6 linked regions of the Canis lupus familiaris genome follow. The protein of the gene in region 1 interacts with the protein of each later gene in a pairwise test. Links are inferred from orthologs where the notes say so. Each region holds a gene or a part of one and is shown on either strand. Other genes may lie near its edges.

The links.
Region 2: the proteins of EXOC5 (region 1) and RAB14 interact in binary tests that used the Homo sapiens proteins (3 or more experiments, as listed by UniProt). The two-hybrid records come from large-scale screens. The link is inferred for Canis lupus familiaris from reciprocal best matches to the Homo sapiens genes EXOC5 and RAB14.
Region 3: the proteins of EXOC5 (region 1) and RAB4A interact in binary tests that used the Homo sapiens proteins (3 or more experiments, as listed by UniProt). The two-hybrid records come from large-scale screens. The link is inferred for Canis lupus familiaris from reciprocal best matches to the Homo sapiens genes EXOC5 and RAB4A.
Region 4: the proteins of EXOC5 (region 1) and DEUP1 interact in binary tests that used the Homo sapiens proteins (3 or more experiments, as listed by UniProt). The two-hybrid records come from large-scale screens. The link is inferred for Canis lupus familiaris from reciprocal best matches to the Homo sapiens genes EXOC5 and DEUP1.
Region 5: the proteins of EXOC5 (region 1) and EDRF1 interact in binary tests that used the Homo sapiens proteins (3 or more experiments, as listed by UniProt). The two-hybrid records come from large-scale screens. The link is inferred for Canis lupus familiaris from reciprocal best matches to the Homo sapiens genes EXOC5 and EDRF1.
Region 6: the proteins of EXOC5 (region 1) and TNPO2 interact in binary tests that used the Homo sapiens proteins (3 or more experiments, as listed by UniProt). The two-hybrid records come from large-scale screens. The link is inferred for Canis lupus familiaris from reciprocal best matches to the Homo sapiens genes EXOC5 and TNPO2.

Annotation. Positions count from the first base shown.
Region 1 is NC_049229.1:33,112,153-33,115,652, forward strand, and holds part of EXOC5 (exocyst complex component 5), read right to left. Parts: intron 3,211-3,500; coding exon 3,001-3,210; intron 1,236-3,000; coding exon 1,088-1,235; intron 1-1,087. UniProt on the Homo sapiens protein: Component of the exocyst complex involved in the docking of exocytic vesicles with fusion sites on the plasma membrane.
Region 2 is NC_049232.1:74,592,241-74,596,396, reverse strand, and holds the start of RAB14 (ras-related protein Rab-14), read left to right. Parts: upstream 1-1,356; 5' UTR 1,357-1,441; intron 1,442-2,050; exon of another isoform or gene 2,051-2,343; intron 2,344-4,156.
Region 3 is NC_049225.1:10,334,192-10,337,691, reverse strand, and holds part of RAB4A (ras-related protein Rab-4A), read left to right. Parts: exon of another isoform or gene 1-108; intron 109-826; coding exon 827-941; intron 942-3,500. UniProt on the Homo sapiens protein: The small GTPases Rab are key regulators of intracellular membrane trafficking, from the formation of transport vesicles to their fusion with membranes.
Region 4 is NC_049242.1:7,409,803-7,413,834, forward strand, and holds the start of DEUP1 (deuterosome assembly protein 1), read right to left. Parts: upstream 2,801-4,032; 5' UTR 2,497-2,800; intron 1,983-2,496; 5' UTR 1,941-1,982; coding exon 1,912-1,940; intron 1-1,911. UniProt on the Homo sapiens protein: Key structural component of the deuterosome, a structure that promotes de novo centriole amplification in multiciliated cells.
Region 5 is NC_049249.1:35,257,724-35,261,223, reverse strand, and holds part of EDRF1 (erythroid differentiation-related factor 1), read right to left. Parts: intron 2,417-3,500; coding exon 2,350-2,416; intron 1,261-2,349; coding exon 1,135-1,260; intron 236-1,134; coding exon 111-235; intron 1-110. UniProt on the Homo sapiens protein: Transcription factor involved in erythroid differentiation. Involved in transcriptional activation of the globin gene.
Region 6 is NC_049241.1:49,816,342-49,819,794, forward strand, and holds part of TNPO2 (transportin-2), read left to right. Parts: coding exon 1-38; intron 39-94; exon of another isoform or gene 95-164; intron 165-252; coding exon 253-424; intron 425-902; coding exon 903-989; intron 990-1,068; coding exon 1,069-1,176; intron 1,177-1,284; coding exon 1,285-1,443; intron 1,444-2,059; coding exon 2,060-2,147; intron 2,148-2,334; coding exon 2,335-2,433; intron 2,434-3,041; coding exon 3,042-3,137; intron 3,138-3,380; coding exon 3,381-3,453. UniProt on the Homo sapiens protein: Probably functions in nuclear protein import as nuclear transport receptor. Serves as receptor for nuclear localization signals (NLS) in cargo substrates.

The sequences.
Region 1 (3,500 bases):
GTGTATTATCAGACTTCTTAATTTTTGCAATCTGAATGAGACTGAGTATTTTCCCTATTTTAAGTTTCATTTTCCTATTAGTGAGACTGGATATCTTATTAATAATTTACATTTTCTGTATTTGTCTATGTATATCAAAATAACCTTTCATAACTTATTCCAAAATAACCTGCATATATTATCTCCTCTTTGTAGGTAAGGAATCTGAGTTTTATAGACATTAGGTCATTGGCCACAGTAAACAGAAGAGCTGGGTTTTGGGTCCACCTCTGGCTGACTCCAGAGCCCTCACTCTTGGCTACCACATCTAATGAGAACCTACTATGTACATTTATTAGTCTTTGTTTTCTATTGATTTATATGTATAATTTGTATGTATAATTTATATTGTTTATTTGTATAATTCATATGGATTTATTGTCCATCAATATAAAATATATAATATCAATACAAAAAAAATTAAGACTGCCTCCACTCTCAGTTCCACTGCTTAAGATGTATGTATCTCAGTTTTTTCTCTGTAAAATGGAATCAAAACCTCTCAAGATTGTTACAATGATTATATGAGTTGGTGTATACCTAAAGTGCTTTGGAACGTTGTATGTACTATACAATTATTTGCCACTATTATTTGTTTTACATAATTTTCTGCTAGTAATATTGGTTACAAATATCTTCTCGCAGGCTGTGACTTATCTCCTTACTTTGTTCAAGTGTTTGTTGGACAGAAATTCTAAATTTTACTGGAGTCAACTTCTCATTCTTTTCCTTTGATATTTGGGTTCTTAAAACATCCTTCTTTCCCTATTATTTCTATTTCTTTATGAGATAGCTCTAAATCTCCCTTTTATATCTTGATTTAATATAACTTACAGAAGAAAAATTGGGAATATTCAACTTATAAAATAATATTAAAATATACTTATAATTTTAAAATAATTCTGTTCTCCAAAACAAAAACTCCATCTAATTACAAAAAATGTAATGGTTAGCTGTTCCTGTCCAGAGAGCAGATTTATATTATAACAAGGCGAAAATTAAAATACACAACTACATAAAAATGAAATAAATTTATAACTACTCTTACCCTATGACATCTTTCAAAGGCCTGTTTAGTTTCTTGTAAAAGATTAACCACCACTTCTTGAGATAGGAAAGTTTCTCCATGAGTATCGATACTTGGCCCCAGCGGTAAGTTGGTACGTTGTCTAATTCTCTCTTTCAAATCCTGAATACTAATGCATCATAACAACAAATGAAAAGAGAACATTTTACACAGATTTCAATTTTAAGTACTCTTCAATTTAGTATACATCAACAAAGAAAAATGGACTAATTGCCAAACTCAAACATTCTAATTCCAATAATTTAGTCCTGTAAAAGCAAAGCAATCTCTTAGCAGAAGACTTTCGTCTGAAAAAGGAGTATATTTGGAGTTATGACCTTTAAAATAATAATTTATAATTATGACTCTATAATTCTGACTCAACAGCCAAAAATTCCTTGTTTTATTTCCTTATTAAGTGGATTATTACAAGTAAATTAATATAACTAAACGGTCCTGCTTGCAATAAACTTTAAAAATTTAATGCTTTTTAAATACATTTAACTATTTGAGCATATTCACATTTCCTTATCATTATTAAGCAAGATATATTAAACATAATTTAGCATTCTTAATGACTGAGTTACTTTGAATATTTATTATATGGTGGTATCTTTAGGTTAGATTTCTTTTGTTCCTAGAATACCTAACTCTAGACTATTCTAAACTTTTCTAAGGTTTTTATTTTTTTTAATTTTTAAAAAAGATTTTTAAATTTATTTATTCATCAAAGACACAGAGAGAGAGGCAGAGGCATACACAGAGGCAGAGGCAGGCTCCTTGCAGAGAGACCAATGTGGGACTCGATCCCAGGACTGGGACCATGCCCTGAGCCAAAGGCAGACCCTCAACCTCTCAACCGCTAAGTCACCCAGGCATCCTGCGGTTTTTTTTTTTCTTTTCTTTTCTTTTTTTTTTTAAATAATCTTTACATTCAAGGTGTTCAAACTTACAACTCTGAGACTAAGAGTTGCATGCTCCACTGACTGAGCTAGCCAGGTATCCCAAATTATTTTTTTAATTCTCATGATTATTCTTTAGTTTTTCTCTTCCCTTACTTGCTGCTGCCTTTCAGATGGCATTTCTTATTCCTAATTATAACCTCTCCCTGATTATTATTTAGTATATGACAAACTGGGAAACAAGAAACAGATTTATTTGAGTATACTCTGGACTCTAATCATATGGCTCCACATAAATCGTTCTGCTTCATCTTAGAATCAAATGGTTCTAGGCAGCTGAGATATGGATAACAGGTGCTACCAATTCTTCCGCAAATCCTTTTCTTTTAGTATGTGAATAATCACAGATTTTAAGGAATTAATTAAATAATTTTAAGTCAAATCATGAAAAAGCTCAGGATATCTACACTGTAAACTGCTATTTTCCACTTGCAATGACAAAAAATGTATGCTTCCTAGTTAATAATGTGGAATAATTTACTCAGTCTGGAAAAAAAAAGAGACTATACGAACTCTTTATAGTTCTAGTATTCTGCTTTAAATTCTAATCGCAGTATGTTAGGTCATTCCAACATGTGTTTCAAGTGACAGGATTTGATCAATGGTGTAAATAAGCTGGGCTAATTGAGTTCTTCACAGAGAATTCCAATGACTGTCAACATTTGACAATTTTGTCCGAATATAATACAGTTCTTAAAATCTTTACTTTTAACTACAAAAATTTTTTTTTTTTTTTATGATAGTCACAGAGAGAGAGAGAGAGAGAGAGAGAGGCAGAGACACAGGCAGAGGGAGAAGCAGACTCCATGCACCAGGAGCCCGATGTGGGATTCGATCCTGGGTCTCCAGGATCGCGCCCTGGGCCAAAGGCAGGCGCCGAACCGCTGCACCACCCAGGGATCCCCAACTACAACATTTAATAAAAATACTCACCCTCCTGTGCCAATGGATCTCTTTTGATGGTTTTTTGAGTCATAATAGCGCTGTAGGATCATAGCACTTCTACTTTTCAAATATCCAGTCTCCACCTCAATATAGTTCTCCAAATAGGAAATGAAAATGGATTTGATAAGCTTAGACAAGAAAGTCTGTTTATCAGTACCTAAGTTAAACTCCATCAACTTGCTGGAAAGATTTGTAGTTCTTTTCATGGAAAAGGGGGAAAAAGAGATTAATGTATACTTTAGATACAGTAACAATACTAAGTAATATATATTTTTACAATGTGATTTTAATAACTTATATTAAACACCATTTCTTAAACCTTAGAAAGGCACTAAGGATACAGAGAGCAGCTGCATACATCTATGTATAAAGTAGACTGGATATTACAAACACTATGGTTTAGAAAACTGACTAGGGATAATCTCCTAGGGATGATTTATGAGAGGAAACTGAGGCAACCAACCAGTCTAGAAATGGCAACAGTGGCA
Region 2 (4,156 bases), on another chromosome or scaffold:
CATCATCCTCATTTTGCAGAAAAGACTGCGGATCTGGGAAATCAAGGGACGTGCCCAGCCGTGGGTCATCAGTAAGTGGAAGATCAGGGATTCGCAGCCGGGTCTTTCTGAAAATGAGACATGTGTGAACTGCCATACGGTTTTCCAAGGAAGTGTCCCGTCGCCGAGGCAAAGCCAGCTTCTGAAAGCTCCTCCTGCCGAGAGCCTGAGCTTCCTTTGGGTAAACTGAGGCAGGGCCGTCACCTGAGCCACCGGAAGCACCGAGCCTGGGGCCCACGATGCTTTCGTGGGGACCCGCAGAAATGTCTTCAGTGCTTTGAAAGTCAGGAAGGAAAGATGAATTTCCAGGTTAAAGAAAGTGTCGTGCGGTGTGACATTAAAACATCCCTCTCCACGCCAACGTAGCTGTAAAACGCTAACAATAGGAACACAGAAGTACAGGAACAGGCGATCCCCGTAACCGTCTCCGCAGGCACAGGCGGGCGTTGGGGTCCCCCGAGGGCCGCCCGCCGCCGGCTGCGCAGGGCCTTCCGGGAGGGTGGCAGGCCGGAGGCGCCGGGGTGCTGGGGTGCTCGGGCCCCGCGTCCCAGGGCCCCTCGGAGGGCAGAGGCGACCCACAACGGGAAGCGCCACGTTCCGGCTGCTGGATCCCGGGCCCCCGGCTCGATCGACGCGAGCCTCAGTTTCGCCATCGGTACAATGGGGCCAAGAGCCTCCTGCGGCTGCGGGACGGGGACGCGTGCCCTCGGGCCCCGCTGCGGGCGGGCGCAGCAGACTGTGCCCGGCGTGGGGCGCGCGGCGCGGGCGTGTCCGGCAGGCGGGGGCGGGGGGGCGGGGGCCGGGGCCGGGGCCGGGGCGCCGGGAGCCGCAGGGTCCACCGAGCGCCGAGCCCGGCCCGCCCCGCCCCGGCCCGGCCCGCCCCCAGCAGGTGCCGCGCGCGCCTGCGCAGGAGCGCCCCTGGGAAGCGGGCGCCGGCCGCTGCGCCTGCGCACAAGCGCCGCCCTCCGCCCCTCCAGGCGCCGCCGCCCGCGGGGCGGGTCTCGGCGGCCGCGCGGCGAGTCCCGAGGGCCGCGGCGGGGAAGGGGCGTGGCCAGCAGGCCGGGCCGGCCGCCGTCTTCCGGGCCCCGCCGGCTGCGCGCGCAGCCTCCTCCCCCCGCTTCTTTTGTGGTCCGGCCCATTGCGAGGGTGACAGGAAACCCTGTGCAGGGAGCGCCGCCATCTTGGACCTGCCCGAGGAGATCCTGAGGGAGCCGCGGAGCCGTCGCCGCCGCCCCCGCCGCTGCCGCCGGCGCGCCTGCACCTCGTCGGCCAGCCCGCCGCCCCCGGGGCCCCGGCCGCCCGCCCGCCCGCCCGCCCGCCCGCGCCGCCCGCCGCGCCCGCTTCCTCGTCCTGACGCCCCCCGCCCGCCCGGAAAGCTGCCCAGCCACCAGCAACCCCCCAGGTGAGCCGGGCCTTCCGCAGCGTCCGTCGGGCCGCGGCCGCCTGGCGCGGGGGCGGGGGGCGGGGGCGGGGGCGCCGCGGGCGGGCCGGCCGGGGGGCGGGGGCGGCGGGGGCGCGGGCGAGGGCGCGGGCGAGGGCGTGTGCGGCCGGCCGCCGCCGCCCCCGCGAGCCCGGACGTGGAGCCCCGGCCCCGGCGCCGGCCCGCGTGGGCCCGGGCACAAAGGCGGCAGCTGGAGGCCTCGCCGGCGCGGCGGGGCTCGGTGTCCTTGTCGGCGGGGCCGCGGCGGAGGGCCGGGGCGGTGAGGGCCCTGAGGGCCGGGGAGGCTGAGGGCCGCGGCTGCTGAGGGCCGGGGCGGCCCGGACGGCGCCGAGCTTGGGTGGCGTCGGCCCGCCGTGAAGGCGACAAAAAGTTGTGGGTTTTGAGCGTTTCTGGGACTGGAGGGGAGACGGCGGAGCAGGGAGCCCGTCGCCGGTGGCCCTGGCTGCCGACTGCGCCGGCTCCGCTTGGCCCGGTCGGGCCCGGGCTGGGGGCTGCGAGGTCCGCGTCCCCGTCCCCGCCCCCGGCGCCCCCCGCCGCGAGCCCCCGCGCCCTCCGGCCTCGCCGCCTCACCTGCAGGGCGGGTGTAAGGTCAGTCGTTGCTTGCAGAGGAGGGAAGGCGGTCGCGGGAGGCCGCGGGAGGCTCCTCTAAAGCCGAACGGCCCCAGATTCTTGAGGCTCAAGCGACGTCTTTCAAGTCTCTGCTTCTGACGACCCAGCCCGGGCCCGTCCCGCCGCGAGCGTCTTTACGTAACCGCGGTAGGAGAGGGCTCCGCGGGAGCGGCCTCGGCCCAGGCAGGACGCCGGAGCCCGGGACGTCTGGTGCGGCCGAGACACGCCTGCGCGCGGACGGGCTGCGCCTCGGAACTTGAGGGCGTAGCTTCCAGCGTGTGCGGGGGGGTCCCGGGAGTGTCGGGGTCGCCCCCCCCCCCCCCGCCACGTTGCTTTGAGGACCGTTCCCTTCAGACATCACGTTTCATCAGTGAAACTTTGGCCGTTTCTGGCCCTCTTAGTGCTTGTAGTAAAGTAGGTGCGGGCCCCTGGCTGGTTCTTGCCCTTGAAGCACGGCTGCGGCGCCCAAGCACTTTCTTCCTAGGCTGCGGCCATGACGGCAGAACTGCCCTGCTCGTGGCACAGTAGAAACCCGGCTCTTTTTCTTGTATTAGTTGATGCAAAGATGTGACATTGACTGTCCTGCCAAGAGTGAGTTTTTTAAAGTGGAGGTCAGAATGGGTGGGCTCTTCTCCGAGGTTGCGTTACTGCTGAGACCGCGCATTCGGATTCCCCGAGCACAGCACCGGTCTACACTGTGTCCCCGGCACAGCCTGTTAGCGAGTCCGACCGCCGCTAAGTCTCCGGGAGGCGGGCGCGACGCTCCTCTTGGTCGCTCCTGCCTTGTCAAAGCCTCACGCAGACTCTGTGCTTCGCAGATGCTCAACAAGGATTTCCGTGTTGGGATCACAGTGCTTTTGGGCGCTCGGTCCAGTTCTGTGTCTATAACGAGATGTCTTACGTGTAGCAAAACCCCAAACCAAGCTTAGTAATGTTAATAATGAGGATCAGAATGTAAATCACCTGGAATCTTTGTGGGTTGTTTTTGTCCTGTGTTGTCTTGAATAAGTTATGTAAAAATTACATCGTAGCATCGTTCGTCCTAAGAAGTAGAATAAAATAGCCGTTTAATGGTTGTGAGAGGATTAGTCAGACGTAGTGCCTGAGTGAACACAGTAAAAGCCAAGGTATTAAAAAAGAAAAAATGCTGTCAATTTTCGGAGTGTGTTTTTTGAGGCCGATCATATGATTGACTTTCCCCATATTATTATGAATTTCCCCATATTATTGTAAATGTGTAAGTAATGTTGGAACTATTATGAATGGGAGTTGTTTTATTTTTGGAAAATATTTATTCTAGAGAGATTGAAGGCATGTGAGTAGGGCTGGGGCTGGGGCTGGGGCAGAGGGAGAGAAAATCTTCAAGCCGACTCCTGAGATGATGACCTGGGCCAAAGTCCAGAGTTGACCACTTAACTGAATGGGCCACCCAGGCGCTGCTTGTTTTTGTTGATTCTTGTTTGTTTTGTATTAGAATAGTTCTTTATCTACTTTGAATACTTTAGAATATCACCAGTGAATATAGCACATGCTTACACTGTTAATAGAGTTATATAAAGTTAATAATTTCTCCCTATCCTTTTTCTTCTCAGTCCACATACTCATTTTTCACAATTTGGTGTGTATCCTTCCATATTATCTGTATACAGGTTTGAGGGAGAGTGTGTGTATGTGTGTGTGTTTAAAAATGGGATATGCCACTGCATAAAATTCTATCAACTTTTTTTTTTCCACTTAAAAATCATGGATATATTTTTAAGTTTATTATCCATCTCTGAATGGTTTTTAAACTAGAAGCATGTTATTTCATGATACTTTAGTCATTTCCCTGTTGATAGAAGTATAGATTGTTTCCAGTTTTTTTGGTTTTGGGTTTTGTTTTGTTTGCTGTATAAGTACTGCATTAGATGCAGTTGGACCTATAACCTTATGGATTGAAGATCTTGTATCTGTAGGCTACTTCTTGGTCACAGTTGATTGGGATTATCTTTAAGATTTTAAAATATATTGTTTACTTCCCAAAAAAATGTGGCAATTCAGACTCTTGTAAGCAGAGTGTATGAAAGG
Region 3 (3,500 bases), on another chromosome or scaffold:
TAAGGTTATAAAGTATAAGTCAGTCATGGGCTGTATAGCCATAATATTAGCTGCTAGCCCAGCTCTTCATCACCACAGAAGTGTTTTTTCACAGACAGCTCATCCCAGGTAGGTTTAGTGAGCTACTTACTTTGCCAGCCTCCCAGTACAGATAGTATTGACTTCTCCAGCAAATTCATTCAAAATTATTGCTACACAATACTAAAATTCATGGAAACTCAATAGCTATAATATGGATAGAGTTTTTGGTTTTTGTTTGGTTTGGTTTCATTTTATTTTATTTATCTTTTCCTCTTTTCCCCTTAATCTTTGGTGTCTATCAAGTTTCTTTTTGGGCCTACAGTGCTTTTCCTTCCCTTTTATTTCTCTTGAATATTTATCCATTCAAATATTAGAAACAATCACCACCTCATTCCTGACCAAGTTGCAAGTCTGTTACTGGGCATCCCTTCAGGATGGCACCCAGGTATTTTATGCAGCCCCCATATGTCAGTACTCTAACAGTGGTCAGGTAGATCTGGTTCTCATGTGCCATAGCCACTTCCAAGCTTAGGCTTTAAAATGAATGTTTAAAAAAAAATAAAAATAAAATGAATGGTTTGCTTCAGGGGTTTTGTGAAAGAGCCTTATTGTCTCTTTCAGAGTAGGAACTGTGTGTGTGTTCTGTTTAAAACAGTGAGTGCTTCTTATCAACTCACTATTGGAGAATGAAAGGCTACAGTAAATTACATTTCCATTGACTTTAACCCATGATTTTATTTGTTTAAGTCTGTAAGTGTTTTTTTAATGTTCTGAAATTAAATATCTTGTTCTTTTTCTTTTTCAGTCAAAGATGACTCAAATCATACAATAGGAGTGGAATTTGGTTCAAAGATAATAAATGTTGGTGGTAAATATGTAAAGTTACAGATATGGGATACAGCAGGCCAAGAACGATTCAGGTAGCTTTCTCTCTAATTTAATAAAAATATTTGAAAATTGGATTTGAAATAATCAATTATAGTCTCTTCATATATATAGTCTCCTCCTCCCCTGCACACATTTCAAAAACTTCACCTCTGGAAGCTTTAACACAAGCTAAAAGTCTCTTTGCAGCATTAGAAAAATGCATTAGAATCTCTTTTGAGTGAACACACCCTAATGTAGAGGCTAATTTATTCTTTGGGACTAGTGAGTACATTAGGAGGATGTGGCATTGCTTATTCTACAGAATACTTTTAGATTAAAATTAAGGCAAACAAATAGTAAAACCGTTTTTCTCTTTGATTTTTATTTTTATTTTTTTAAAGATTTATTCATTTATTCAGGGGGGTGGGACAGAGACACAGACAGAGGGAGAAGCAGGCTCCATGCAGGGAGCCTGACTTGGGACTCCATCCCAGGTCTCCAGGATCACACTCCAGGCTGTAGGCGGCGCTAAACCACTGCGCCACCGGGGCTGCCCTTCTCTGATTTTTAAAGGAGAATTTTTAAAATCTCTTTTGGGGTTTTCTTTTGTTTTATATTAACTAGAGCATGTTCTGATGGTTGATATACATTCCACCAGATACTCTCTCCTGCACAGTTTTATTATACTGCAGTCATAATCAATGTTTGGAGCGATGACCCCAGATCACTGCAGATGAGGTTACATGTTTAATAGACTGTAATTACTAAAGCAAGAAAATGGATTAATATTCTAGTTGTGTTTTTTGAACAAATACACAAAATCAAAAAAGAACAGATATTCACAGGTTTAAATTTTTTTTAAGAGAGTTTTTTTTTTTTTTAAGATTTTATTTATTTATTCATGAGAGACACAGAGAGAAAGAGAGAGGCAGAGACACAGGCAGAGGGAGAAGCAGGCTCCATGCAGGGAGCCCGACGTGGGACTCGATCCTGGGTCTCCAGGATCAGGCCCTGGGCTGAAGGCGGCGCTAAACCGCTGAGCCACCAGGGCTGCCCCACAGTTTTAAATTTTAGTTAAGTAAAACTCACTCTCACTTATAGCATTAAAATCAGGTATATATTATATTTGAAATGTTCAATAACTATTTGCTTTGAAAATTTTTAAATATGAAAACCACTCTGGAACCACTGATTGAACATTGTGGATTCAGTCCAGACTTAAATGTTTTCTAATCCTCCCTGAAATGATTATAAAACAACATAACTCACAAAGACCCAGAAAGGGAGACTCCATAATTACGATGAAGAGATTTCAGAGCTATGTTAGAGATAAGATGTGAATGGTGACTGCCTGAGTGCTGAGGGAGCTGCATCTTAAGTATCTGTGAAGGGGGAAGGCCAGTGAGCTGGAGGTCAGTTCTTCTGCATCCTGGAAGAGGTCAGGATGTGGAAGAATTAGGTTCTGCAGGAGGAAGGGTGAAGGTGTTTACATATGTGTGTGCACACACCCACGTTGTGAGAAGTTCAGTATCTGAGTTGAAACAGGGTCAAGACACAAAGTCCAAAGGCACAGCAGCAGAGGACAGGGATGAAGGAAGGACTGAAAAGAGGGACGTTAGTGCAAGTCTGTGACTCCTGACCCACCCCCACAACCCCACAACACACACACCCTGGTTGCTGGCAGCCAGGGGTATACATACTCTCAGGAGAAACAGTTTCTCTCTACGGAAAAATGAAGAGCTCCAGAGGAAAGGTCTAAATATACTAATGTATTAGCTTCCCCAGTAAAAGAGCCCAATCTCTGGAATTTTCTACCAAAGAAATGAGATCCCAGATATATTGGGCCCACCTTACACCAAATACAAATGAATGGGGGGAAATCTCACTTATTTATGTCATGTAAAATTTCAAGAGGACAAAGATGAAGTAAAGATGCAAAAAGATCCTAAGAAGGAAAACCAGTCACTTTGAAGGATAGAAAGAGGAATTGCATTTTACCATTCAATAGCAACTTCAGGAAGCTAGAAGATACTGAAGCCTTGCCTTTCTAACTCAGCATGAAAAGTTCCTTTCCAACCTTAAATACTCAACTTAGCCAAACTATCAATCAAATGTGAGAATAAAGTCAGAAAACCTTTAGATATTCTAGAATAGGGGAAACAAAGTTTATCTTTCACATATTCTTTCTTAGAAACTTCAGGAGGATATACTTCTTCAATATAAGGAGGTAAAGCCTGAAAGAGGACGATGCAGTCCAGCCAGATGGCCCCGGCTAGGGAGAAGAGAAAGGACAAGTGTCACAGGGTGGCCCTCAGGAGAGGGTGCAGCTGACAGGAGGAGGAGGAGATGGAGGGAGGGGCCTGGGAGGGTGTGAGCGAGCTAGATTCTTATCAAAGCAGGTAAGCAGAGAGCCCTGAAACTCAAAGAGTTTCATAAGCATTTTATAGAAATATGGAAGCATATACCAAAAAAATGAAACTAAGTTCCACGAAAGTAGGGATGTTTTTATTTTTTTGTTCTCCAAAGCCCAGAGTAGAATCTAGCACATAGATATTCAGCGTGTATTGTGTTAATAACTTCATTCAGGGGAAAAAATAAAATTCGAAGGCCTT
Region 4 (4,032 bases), on another chromosome or scaffold:
ACAAGCTCTATGGCTCCCTACTAAATTCTAAGTTCTTTAAGATCTGTTTCTTAATGATCTTTGTATAAACCAAGAGACTTAGTGTTGTGCTTGTCATGCATTCAATAGTCTACACTTTTCCCCCAAAAGAATGAATGAAGACAAACAGCAGTCTCCGCAGCCTCAGATTCGCAGGAGTGAAGGGGTTCCTGGTACCAAACCTTAAGGCCAAGACCTTCAATCTGCATCTCAGACCCTACTGCTACCATCATATTAGGGACCTAACACCTGCTCAATCCTGGATCCCAACCTGATTCTGCACCCACATCTCACTACCACTCATTTCCAGTGGAGCAAAGCTTCAGGGATTAGAGTTACACGTATCTGAATTCAAATCCTACCTTTCCACTAACCAGCTGTATATTCTGGGGCAAGCTGCCACTTTATTTCTCTTTCTTTCTATCTTTCTGAGCTCAGAAACATGGCAGAGGCTGCTACCTGTCTGCCAATATCCATTCTTCTTTCTTTTATTGCCTAGGCTTTAGCTGGCCACAGAGCTGCTCAGTTAGAGAGCACAGGTCCCAAACCTTCTTTCTTGGCCGGTAGGAAATGACTAGAAGTGAGTCCTGCTATTTCTAGGGCACATTCTCCAAAAAAGAACCAAATTCTCTCTCCTCTTGCCCTTCCCCCTTCCCTCTGGCAGGAGCACGGTGGTAAAAGCTGAAGCCTTCACTTTGGATCCAGACACAAAAATCATGTAGAGGCAGCGGAGCTGCCCTCCCAGTCCTGGTCTGCTTATCCTAAAACTTGTTCATGAAACAGAAATAAACTTCACTCTTATTTAAACCACTGGGGTCATCATTTGGGGGTCTCTTTGTCACAAGACCTTAGACTATAATACACTCGATTTTCTTGGTTGTACAGAGAACAATACCTAGCTGAGATATTGTAAGGAGGAGTATGCAGCAAGATTTACAAAACCAACCTTATTCTTACCCAAATTTATGATGCTTTCCTTTAGCCTGATGTCAAAGTCATGGTCTGAGCAGAATAACTGAAAGGGAGACACTTGGAGTGGTTTGATGAGTGCAAATCAGTCATAGTCAAGATTAGGCACTACAGCACCACTCCTACCCACTGTCCCTACTCACTACCCCTTGCCCCTCACCTGCCCCCTAACCCCAGTTGGGGTAGGGACAGATATTTGTAAAAGGGAGTTTAATTTTTTTACAAATGGTGAAGACTTTGGTAACATATCCAGTTCTTATTGTTGTTTGAGGAGCCAAATCTTTTTCTTTTAACTTTATTAAGTTATTAAATTTGAATTCCAGTAGAGTTAACATACAGTGTTATATTAGTTTCAGGTGTACAATATAGTGATTCAACAATTCTATACATCTCCCAGTGCTCATCATGATAAGTGTACTCGTTAATCTCCATCACGCATTTCACCCATTCCATCACTCACTCGTCCCCTGGTGACCGTCCATTTGTTCTCTGTAGTTAAGATTCTGTGGGAGCCAAATCTGTTCTGAGGCTGTGTTTAAGTGTTGAATTCAGCCTTAAGGGCAAATGTAAGAGGCATGACTGGAACGCTCAATGTAGCAAGAAAGGAGCAAACTGAGGGGAGCTCCTCTCAAGAGCACAGGAGGCCTGTATGGGCACCCACCATCCTAAAACACCAAAAAAAAAAAACTCCCTAAAAGTTGGAAAATAATGATTTTTGGGTACTGACCCATAGTCAAAATTGGAAAGATTCATATCATAGGTTCTTAATTAGAATCACTTGAATCTCCCCCCATCTTCCTCACCAAAAGTAATTGATACATCCTTCATATTAATGCTCAATTTCAAAATTTGTGTATCATCTGGGAGTTTTGGGGATAGTTAAGGGCCCACTTAATAAACAGAAAATTTTCAATCAGCACTTACCCCATTGTATTATGGGCTTGGTTCTCCATGTCAAGAAATTGCTGTATCTGGTTTGTTTCTTGATTTTTAATCTATTAGGGGAAAAATGATCTAGATCATTAAAACACTTACACTTATTAACCTATAAAACAAGAAAATTCTGCTCTCAGCAAACCATGTAGTGTGAGCTTCTCCAAGTGTAGCAGCTTTTGGTGCTACAAAATGTAGAAAATTAGGGCCTTTTAAAAAAATTCCCCCACGCATTTAGGACACTGGTTTAGCTATGAGTCGAAATCCATGGTATTGGCTGAAATGAGCAGTCATTCACTATTTCCTGAACAACACCCTGGTGCCAGGTACTTTGCAAAGTGCTCATCACACGAGATAAGTAAAACCGAATTCCTATGGTAGGGGAGTTACAGCTAAATGTTCTCAAACTTTCTTGTCTGCTAAAAGTTTGCCTTGTATTTGAGTCAACTCCTTCTTTGGCCCTTCCCGGGTTTTGTTAGAACGAATATACTATGAGATTTAGGACAGACAGGCTAAGAGTGTTTATAAAAATATAAATCTTACAATTCTGCGATGGCTCTGTGGGCACCTGCTTACCTGGATGTTGGTACCTGCCTTCAAGAAAGAGGAAGGAGGAACACGTTTATCCCAGCCACAAAGTGTTAATTAAAAAATGACATGGAAGGATCGAAGAGAACTTCAACTCCCGAGTCACTACATCAAAGTCAACGAAACAGCCTCCGAGAGGGAGGAGGAGGAGGGAGACTGCGGGCTCCGGCCCTCCCAGACCGAGGACCAGAGGCTCGGGGAGCAGCGAGGCGAGGACCGCGGCGTCGGAACCACAGCCCGGCCGGACGGACGCACCGAGGCTAATCTCACTGCGCCGGTTCCCCACCGCTCACTTGGGCGCCAGCGCAACGAGGCACCGGGAAGCGAGGTCCCCGCCCGGCCCCGGGTCGCCCCCGCCCCCGCCCCCGCCCCCGCCCCCGCGGGCCGCGCCGAGCCCGTGCCCAGGCCGGGGGCTCACCTGCGCCGCGCCGCGCTCCCCGGGAGGCCCGAGCCGCCCCCCCCCGCCGCCGCGCCCAGGGCCCCCCCCGCGCTCCCGCCGCCAGCGCCCGCCCGCCCGCCCCGGCCGTTAGGGCCTCCGGGTCCCGGAGCCGCCCGCCCGCAGAGCCGCCCTGGTTGCCACGGGGACGCGGCCGAACTCGGGGCCGCCCGGGGCGGGGGCAGGGCTGGCGGCGGCGGCCGTGCGGGGCTCGGGTCGCGCCCCCGGGACCCGCCGCTGGGTGCTCGGCGAGGCCCTCCCGACACCGCTGCCTCGGTCCTCGCCCCTGGACCACCCGGGGCGGGCGGGGAGGGGAGCGGGCACGGGGTCTCTGCCACGGTTCCTTTCCTTTTCCTTTCCTTTCCTTTCCTCTCCTCTCCTCTCCTCTCCCCTCCCCTCCCCTCCCCTCCCCTCCCCTCCCCTCCTTTCCCCTTTCCTCTCCTCTCCTTTCCCCTTTCCTCTCCTCTCCTTTCCTTTCCTTTCCTTTTCTTCCTTTTTCCTTTCCTTTCCTCTCCTCCTTCTTTCCTTTCCTTTCCTTTCCTTTTTCCTCCCCTCCCCTCCTTTCCCCTTTCCTCTCCTCTCCTCTCCTCCCCCTCCCCCCTCCCCCCGCTCCTTTCCCTTCCTCCCGCCCTCCTTTCTCCCCTTTCCTTTCCTCTTCCTCTCCTTTTCCCTGCCTCCTTTTTTTTTTTCCGTTCCTTTTTCTTCCTTTCATTTTCCTCTTTCCTTTCCCGTTTTTTTTCGCTTTCCTTTCCTTTTCCTTCTTTCTTCCTTTCCTTTTTTCCTTTCTTTCTTTCTTTTTCTTCCTTTCTTCTTTCCTTTCTTTTCTTTTCTTCTTTTCTTTTTTCTTTTTTCTTTCCTTTCCTTTCCTTTCGTCTTTTCTTTCCTTTTCTTTCTTTTTTCTTTTCTTCCTTTCCTTTCCTTTCTTTTTTTCTTTTCTTTATTTTCTATTAAAGGGTCTTTCCTACGCCCGCTGTGGGGCTCGAACTCACCACCCAGAGATCAAACGTTGCGGGCTCTACTGAGAGCCAGCGAGGCGCCCTGACATCCAACTTCCTTAAATCCCCCCGACCCTCTTCCCTCTCCCCCAT
Region 5 (3,500 bases), on another chromosome or scaffold:
TAATACCATACTTGCAAAACTGAAATTACTTTTACTAGCTTAAGAATTAAATTTGAGATCACAATTTCATTTTCCTTAAGATAAAAAAAAATAAACAAGCAGCCAACTACCTGTAATATAAAAACTTGGAAAGAATAGCCTTCTGATACCAGTGCTCTTTGCTCTTTTTCTTCCTCTGCCACTTCTGATCAATGAGTCTTTGATAAAACTCTTTCAGCCACGTCCAATCACCCGTCTGAGTAACAAAAGAAAATGATAAATACAACAAATCTGTAATCAAAACAATTGGTTATCCTCTACTCTTTTACAGGAAATATTCTTTTTTTAAAAAATACTATTTCATAAACACATATGTAAACACTGTCTTTCTAGACTTAATCTCTATTACCTCTTTTGGGAAATCTGTCTTCCTCTTCTCCCCAAGCCAGGCTGAGAAGTGGTCTAACACATTCCTTAGTACCTGGAATAAACCCTAATATGCATACCATATTGATATTATCTGTGATTGTTTACAATGCCAAGACTTTAAGCTGCCAGCAAACAAGGACTGTGATTTACTCATTATCACATTTCAAGAGCTTGACCAGTGCCAAGGATACATACAGAAACAGGGAATAAGCCTCAAAAAACTGCAACACTGCCTTTACACTTGACAAAAAGTATCCACTATCAATACATGGGGGGTGGGGAGTCATGTACCAAAATACAGTTTGAGAAGCTTTGCTTTTAGTGAATCACTTAATTCTAATAACTATGTATTCATAGAAATAACCTCTAATATTTTCACATTTCCTGGCAATTGTTTCATGAGAATCTCTTCAATGGAGACATCAAAGGATTTTTAAAAAATTTTAACTATTCCCTTAAGTTACTGATTTTTCACAACTTTCTTCATTGGTTTCATCCTCTTCCTTGCAAGAATCCTGGCTGTTGGTTATAAAATAAGTTTCTTCCTCATTCACTCTTTTCTATTTCCTATTAAGGCTTCTTTATATTCCAAGAAATGTCTCATTTCTCAGTTGCCAAAGTGCTAAACTGTGTTTCTGCTTCAGCCTTTCTTAGAAACAATATTTCTAGTGCCCTTAAGTTGTTAAAAAAGTGGGTTACTAGTTGTTTTTCCAGAAAAAGCATTACCTGAGATGATCTCATAAAGAGTTCTTGAATATCTAACTCATCGAGTAAGAGAGTCCTTCCTATGCGGTGTACAGCCATGCTTACATGGGACTTGCTGTAGGGAATCTTCAGGAGCTTTTTTATGTTCTTTAAAAAATTAAAAGGAAAAACAGTTAAAAAGATCTTTTTAGGGTAGCTTGAACACTTTCAAATTTTAACTTCATTTAATTTTAAAGCACAATAAACTTTATTTCCCTAAGGTTATACAAACTATATTTCACACAAAGAGCTAAATACAAACTCATGGAAAACAAAACTTTAAAACCAGAATTACCCAAGTGGCTCAGTCAGTTAAGCACCTGCCTTTGGCTCAGGTCATGATCCCAGAGTCCCAGGGCCCAGGCTCTGCATCAGGCTCCCTGCTCAGTGGAGAGTCTGCTTCTGCACCAGGCCCTACACCCCCGTCCCTGCCCCTGGCTCCCTTTCTCTCTCTCAAATAAATAAATAAAATCTTTAAAATTTTTATTTTATTTATTTTTAAAAGATTTTATTTATTTACTCACGAGAGACAGACAGAGAGACAGAGACAGAGAGAGAGAGAGAGAGGGGCAGAGACACAGACAGAGGGAGAAGCAGGCTCCATGCAGGGAGCCCGATGTGGGACTCGATCCCAGGACTCGAGGATAACGCTCTAGGCTGAAAGTGGCGCTAAACTGCTAAGCCACCCGGGCTGCCCTAAAAAAAATTTTAAAAATAAAATCAGGATCACCTACATTTTACCAGCCATTCCGTGTTAATGCAAATGAAGGTCAAAGATGTATTTTAACACAATAGAATTTCCTAAAATTAAGTGTGTATAGGTCACTTTTGCACTGACTTAAGTTTTTAGCATATTGGATAAAATTACCAACTAAGGAGCAACTGATTTGCTGTAAGTATCATTTCTTGTTTTCAACTGGTAATATTATATAAATCACCCCAAACATTACAATAATTTATAATTGCTACCATTAAAACACAACTATCAATATTAACATCACCACTGCCAGTGTTTTGGGCATCACTCCTTCCTTCTTGAAAGATGTAGCAGGGCATTACTTTACTAACAAAAAAGGTATTTGATAATCAGACGGTTGAATCTTATTTCATCAGTAATTTTTCAAGACTATACAACAAAGCATGTTATAAATCCCTAACATAAACACCCCAATTACATTTCCCAACAAGGACACTTACTTCAGAGTCAGAGACAACGTCCACATCATTTCCCACAGAATCAATAAAGTCGTATGCCATACCAAAGCTAATGGAGGGAACAAAGGCCACAAAGGTCACGCTCATAGTGATACAAGCAGAGTTTATAGGAGAAAACAGTGTTCCATCACTTCCAGGATACCCATTTTCTACATTCTTACATCTCTGAAATCAATATGCCTATCACCATTAGAATCAAGTAGTTTTTCCTTCTTAGTGGTACAAAGACTTAATCACAGATTAGATAATATATAGTAATAGAAGCAATAGGAAACACTAGAACAAAAAAAAAAAAAAACAATTGACTTTTTAAGTTACAAATCCCCACCCCAAATCTCCAAAAGTAAACAGTTCAAGATATTATTCTTTTTACGTGATGAGATAGGAAACATTTATCAGGATTTAGTCTCTAGGGCTGTGTTGCTAGTGATACACAATACTACTTTTTCAGGATTGGGGGTGGGGTGGGGGAGAACCTGACCCCAATTGAGCCAGAAGAAGAAAAGAAAAAAAATGTTGTGTCAGGTGCCACGTGAGGCACGTCTATAATCACTAAGCCTGAAAAGCAGCTGATGTCACCATTTTTCAGTTAGTAAGTGGCAGAGGATCAGAACACTTACCTAGGACCGCCTCACTTCAAAGCACGCTCTGATTTATACCATGTGGGCTAGGCAAGTTACTTAACCTTACCAAGCCTCAGTTTTCCCATGTGAAAATTAGTTAACACAACCTAACTCAAAGGGTTGTTGCGAGAATTCAATGAGATAAACGTATGAAGTACTTGGCACACTGCACACAGTCGATATAAATATAAAAATTTAAATCACTTCATAATATTTAATTGCATTGACATATAATTTATTAGGCCATTCTTCTAAAAGAAAATATCTGGACTATTTCCAACTTTTTGCTAGTATAAGTAATACTATAAACAACATTTTGCAAATAGGACTTTTACCTTCAGAGGCATTAGGATAATTTCTAAACTACTAACTCATTAGGTATTAATATATTTATGGCTCTTGCTAGCTTAGGCCGACATATTTTAGGTTTAGTCATGGAGGGGGAAACAGAAAAGAATCCTGCACATTAAATATTCTACAAGAATATAAATGTTAGCATACGTTTCTTTC
Region 6 (3,453 bases), on another chromosome or scaffold:
CTGGATGGCAACAAGAGGGTGCAGGAAGCAGCCTGCAGGTGACTCTCGACCCCTGCCCCCACAGCCCCCACCCCTGCCCCCACTGGCTGCCTTCTGGGAAGTGATGACACTCATGACCCTTGACATCCTGCTGATTTCTGACGTATTCGTACTGGCTGATCCCAAGTGCATGTCCTCCCCGCACCCCTCAACCCCCCACCCCAGGGCCCAGCCCCACTTGTGACCACCCACTAAACCCCTTCCCCACTCCAGTGCCTTCGCCACCCTGGAGGAGGAGGCCTGCACAGAGCTAGTGCCCTACCTCAGCTATATCCTGGACACCCTTGTCTTTGCCTTCGGCAAGTACCAGCACAAGAACCTGCTCATCCTCTACGATGCCATCGGCACCTTGGCTGACTCTGTGGGCCACCACCTCAACCAGCCGGTGAGACCCCACAGCATCTCCCTCTCTTGATCCCCCTGCCCCTCTGCATCCAGTGACCTGGCGGCGACGCCGTGTCGCACGCCAGGGACATGGCCGTGACCTCAACAGGCAGACAGACAGACCTGGCCCCCGCCCTCGCCCTGCTCCCAGTCTAGCGGGGGAGACAAACAGTTATGAAACAGCGTGGTAAGTGCTGTGCTGGGGAAGCTCAGGGGCCTGCGGGAACCAGGAGTGCTGACCCCCAGGCTCTGAGGGGGTGGAGCAGGGTGGGGCGGGGCTAGGGACTGGTGAGAAGGGAATGGACCAGAAGGGCCTGGAGGTCCGGCTGGATGGCAAGGCCTTGTAGGGCCCCATGAGCCACCGAGATGCTCAGACCTCATCACTCAGGCAGTAGGCGCCTCTGTGTCATGGGGAGCCCTGCTGGTGCCAAGCTGCCACCCCCCACCCAGGGAGCCCCAACTTCTTGCTCCCTCTCTAGGAATACATCCAGAAGCTGATGCCTCCGCTGATCCAGAAGTGGAATGAGCTCAAGGATGAAGACAAGGACCTTTTCCCTCTGCTGGAGGTGGGTGGGCTCCAGGCCCTTTCCCAGAGCCCTGCCCCGTCCTTCCTGAGTTCACCTCTCCTGCCCTCCTCCCAACCAGTGCCTGTCATCGGTGGCCACTGCCCTGCAGAGCGGCTTCCTGCCCTACTGCGAGCCGGTCTACCAACGCTGTGTCACTCTGGTGCAGAAGACTCTGGCCCAGGCCATGGTGAGCATCCCACCACCAATACCCACCCCTGCTGCCCCGCTCCTCTGTAGCTGCCCGTAACCTGGGTCCCCTCGCCTTAACCTGCTTGCCTGCCCCATCTGTGCCCAGATGTACACCCAGCACCCTGAGCAGTATGAGGCCCCTGACAAGGACTTCATGATCGTGGCCCTGGACCTGCTCAGCGGCCTGGCTGAGGGCCTGGGCGGCCATGTGGAACAGCTGGTGGCCCGTAGCAACATCATGACGCTGCTCTTCCAGTGCATGCAGGTGGGTGGGCCCCTCGCAAGCTCTCTCGTTGCAGTGAAGACATAGCAGCCTGTGCAGATCACCCTGGGATGACTCAGGGCCCTGGTTGTGACTGAAGGAAATCAGGAGAAAGGGACCCATGGGGGGAGGAGGGGAGCCTATATTTATTTTAAAAAGTGATTCCAGTAAGATATGAATAAAGTCTCATTAAATGAGCTAACGACGTAGAAAATTAAACAGAGAAACAAGGGGCGCCTAGCTGGCTCGGTGGAGCATGGGACTCTTGATCTCAGGGTGGTGAGTTCTAACCCCATGCTGGGTATAGAGATTACTTAAAAAATGTGGGGGGGGGGATATGAAAGCATAAGCTCCTCCAACTTTACACACACCCATGCACCCAGTGTATCGGGATGGGCCGCAGTTAGGCCTGCTCCCTGCTGTGGTGGTACCCTGACCAAGGCCCTGTGGTTCACTGTGTCCCAGGTTTATAGATGGGCCCCATGACAGGAAGTGTGCCAGGGTCAGGCTGTGCTCTGGGGCCCGCACCCCTAGCTGCCCTGCCTGAGGGATTACTCAGGATCCCAGCTGGTTGGGGGGCGGGGAGCCTTGCCACACTGACCCTGCTCTGACCCCTCAGGACTCCATGCCAGAGGTTCGGCAGAGCTCCTTTGCCCTCCTGGGAGATCTCACCAAAGCCTGCTTCATCCATGTCAAGCCCTGTATCGGTATGGAACCGTCTTCTCCTCACCCCGCGACCCCAGCTCTGGCCTCAAATGATGGAAAAAGATGACTTTGGGAGGATAATGACCAAACTGGATTGTATTCGTACTGTCTGATGGGGTCTGCCCGGCCAGGTCCAGGAGCTCACCCTGGCTTGCCCTCCTGCTCAGCACTCCTTTTTCTCCCCACCAGCCGAGTTTATGCCCATCCTGGGCACCAACCTGAACCCTGAGTTCATCTCTGTGTGCAACAATGCCACCTGGGCCATCGGCGAGATCTGCATGCAGATGGGTGAGTGCCCTGCAAGCTGACAGGCCCTACACCCACCCACCCCCACCCCCACCCCCCCTCCTGTTCCTTCCTGGGGGCAAGACCCTGGCTGTGACTGACCGGTCCCCTTAAGAGAGCCCTGGTGCTGCTTGAGTATTGCAGCAGTTGGTGATGCAAAGAAGCCATTTCTGAGTACTTTCGCGGGGATGCTGCCAAATGCTTGGAAAAGGCATCTAGGATAGGGGTTTCTAAAGAGGCGGAATCAGGAGGCCTGTTCAGATTGGATTGTTCCTGACCTACTCCCCTCCCTGCCATGCACTTGGCTGAAAGGTCCGCTGGGATTGGTTGGGAGAATTTGGCCGCCTCCCTCCCCATCTACCCCCCCCCCCCCGGGCCCCATGGAATCTGGGTAATGTGGTCTAACCCTGCTGTTGAGCATGACTCCAAGGAAGCTTCTGGTGTCTGGAAGGTGTGGGCCTGTCCCTGGTTGGCCATGGGTCCAGAGCTGGGCACCAGCCGGAGAATGAGTTTTGTTCTCTCACTGGTTTCAGTTGGCCAGTGTCTGGGTGCAACTGGGGTCAGCATGGATGGTATGGGCCCTGCGGGGCTCTAACTAACTGGTCCCCCAGGGGCAGAGATGCAGCCCTACGTGCAGATGGTCCTCAACAACCTGGTGGAGATCATCAACCGGCCCAACACACCCAAGACGCTGCTGGAAAACACAGGTGGGCACCAGGCCTGAGCAGCTGCTGTCCCCTTACCTGGAATTGGGGTTCCCAGCTGGGAGGGGGGTGGTGAAGAGACCTCGGGAAAGAACAAGGGAAGGTGTCTGGGAAGAGCACCAGGGAAGCTGCTGGCCTCAGGGGAGTCCCTGGTAGGGCCTATTCCCTTGGGGCCCACGGGGCGGGGCTGGTGCCTCATGCCAGAGGCCCCGCCACGTACCGTCCCGGGGCCGCTCGGGGTTGCAGGTCGCCTGACGAGTCCCTCTGCCATTCCAGCCATCACCATCGGCCGCCTGGGCTATGTGTGCCCTCAGGAGGT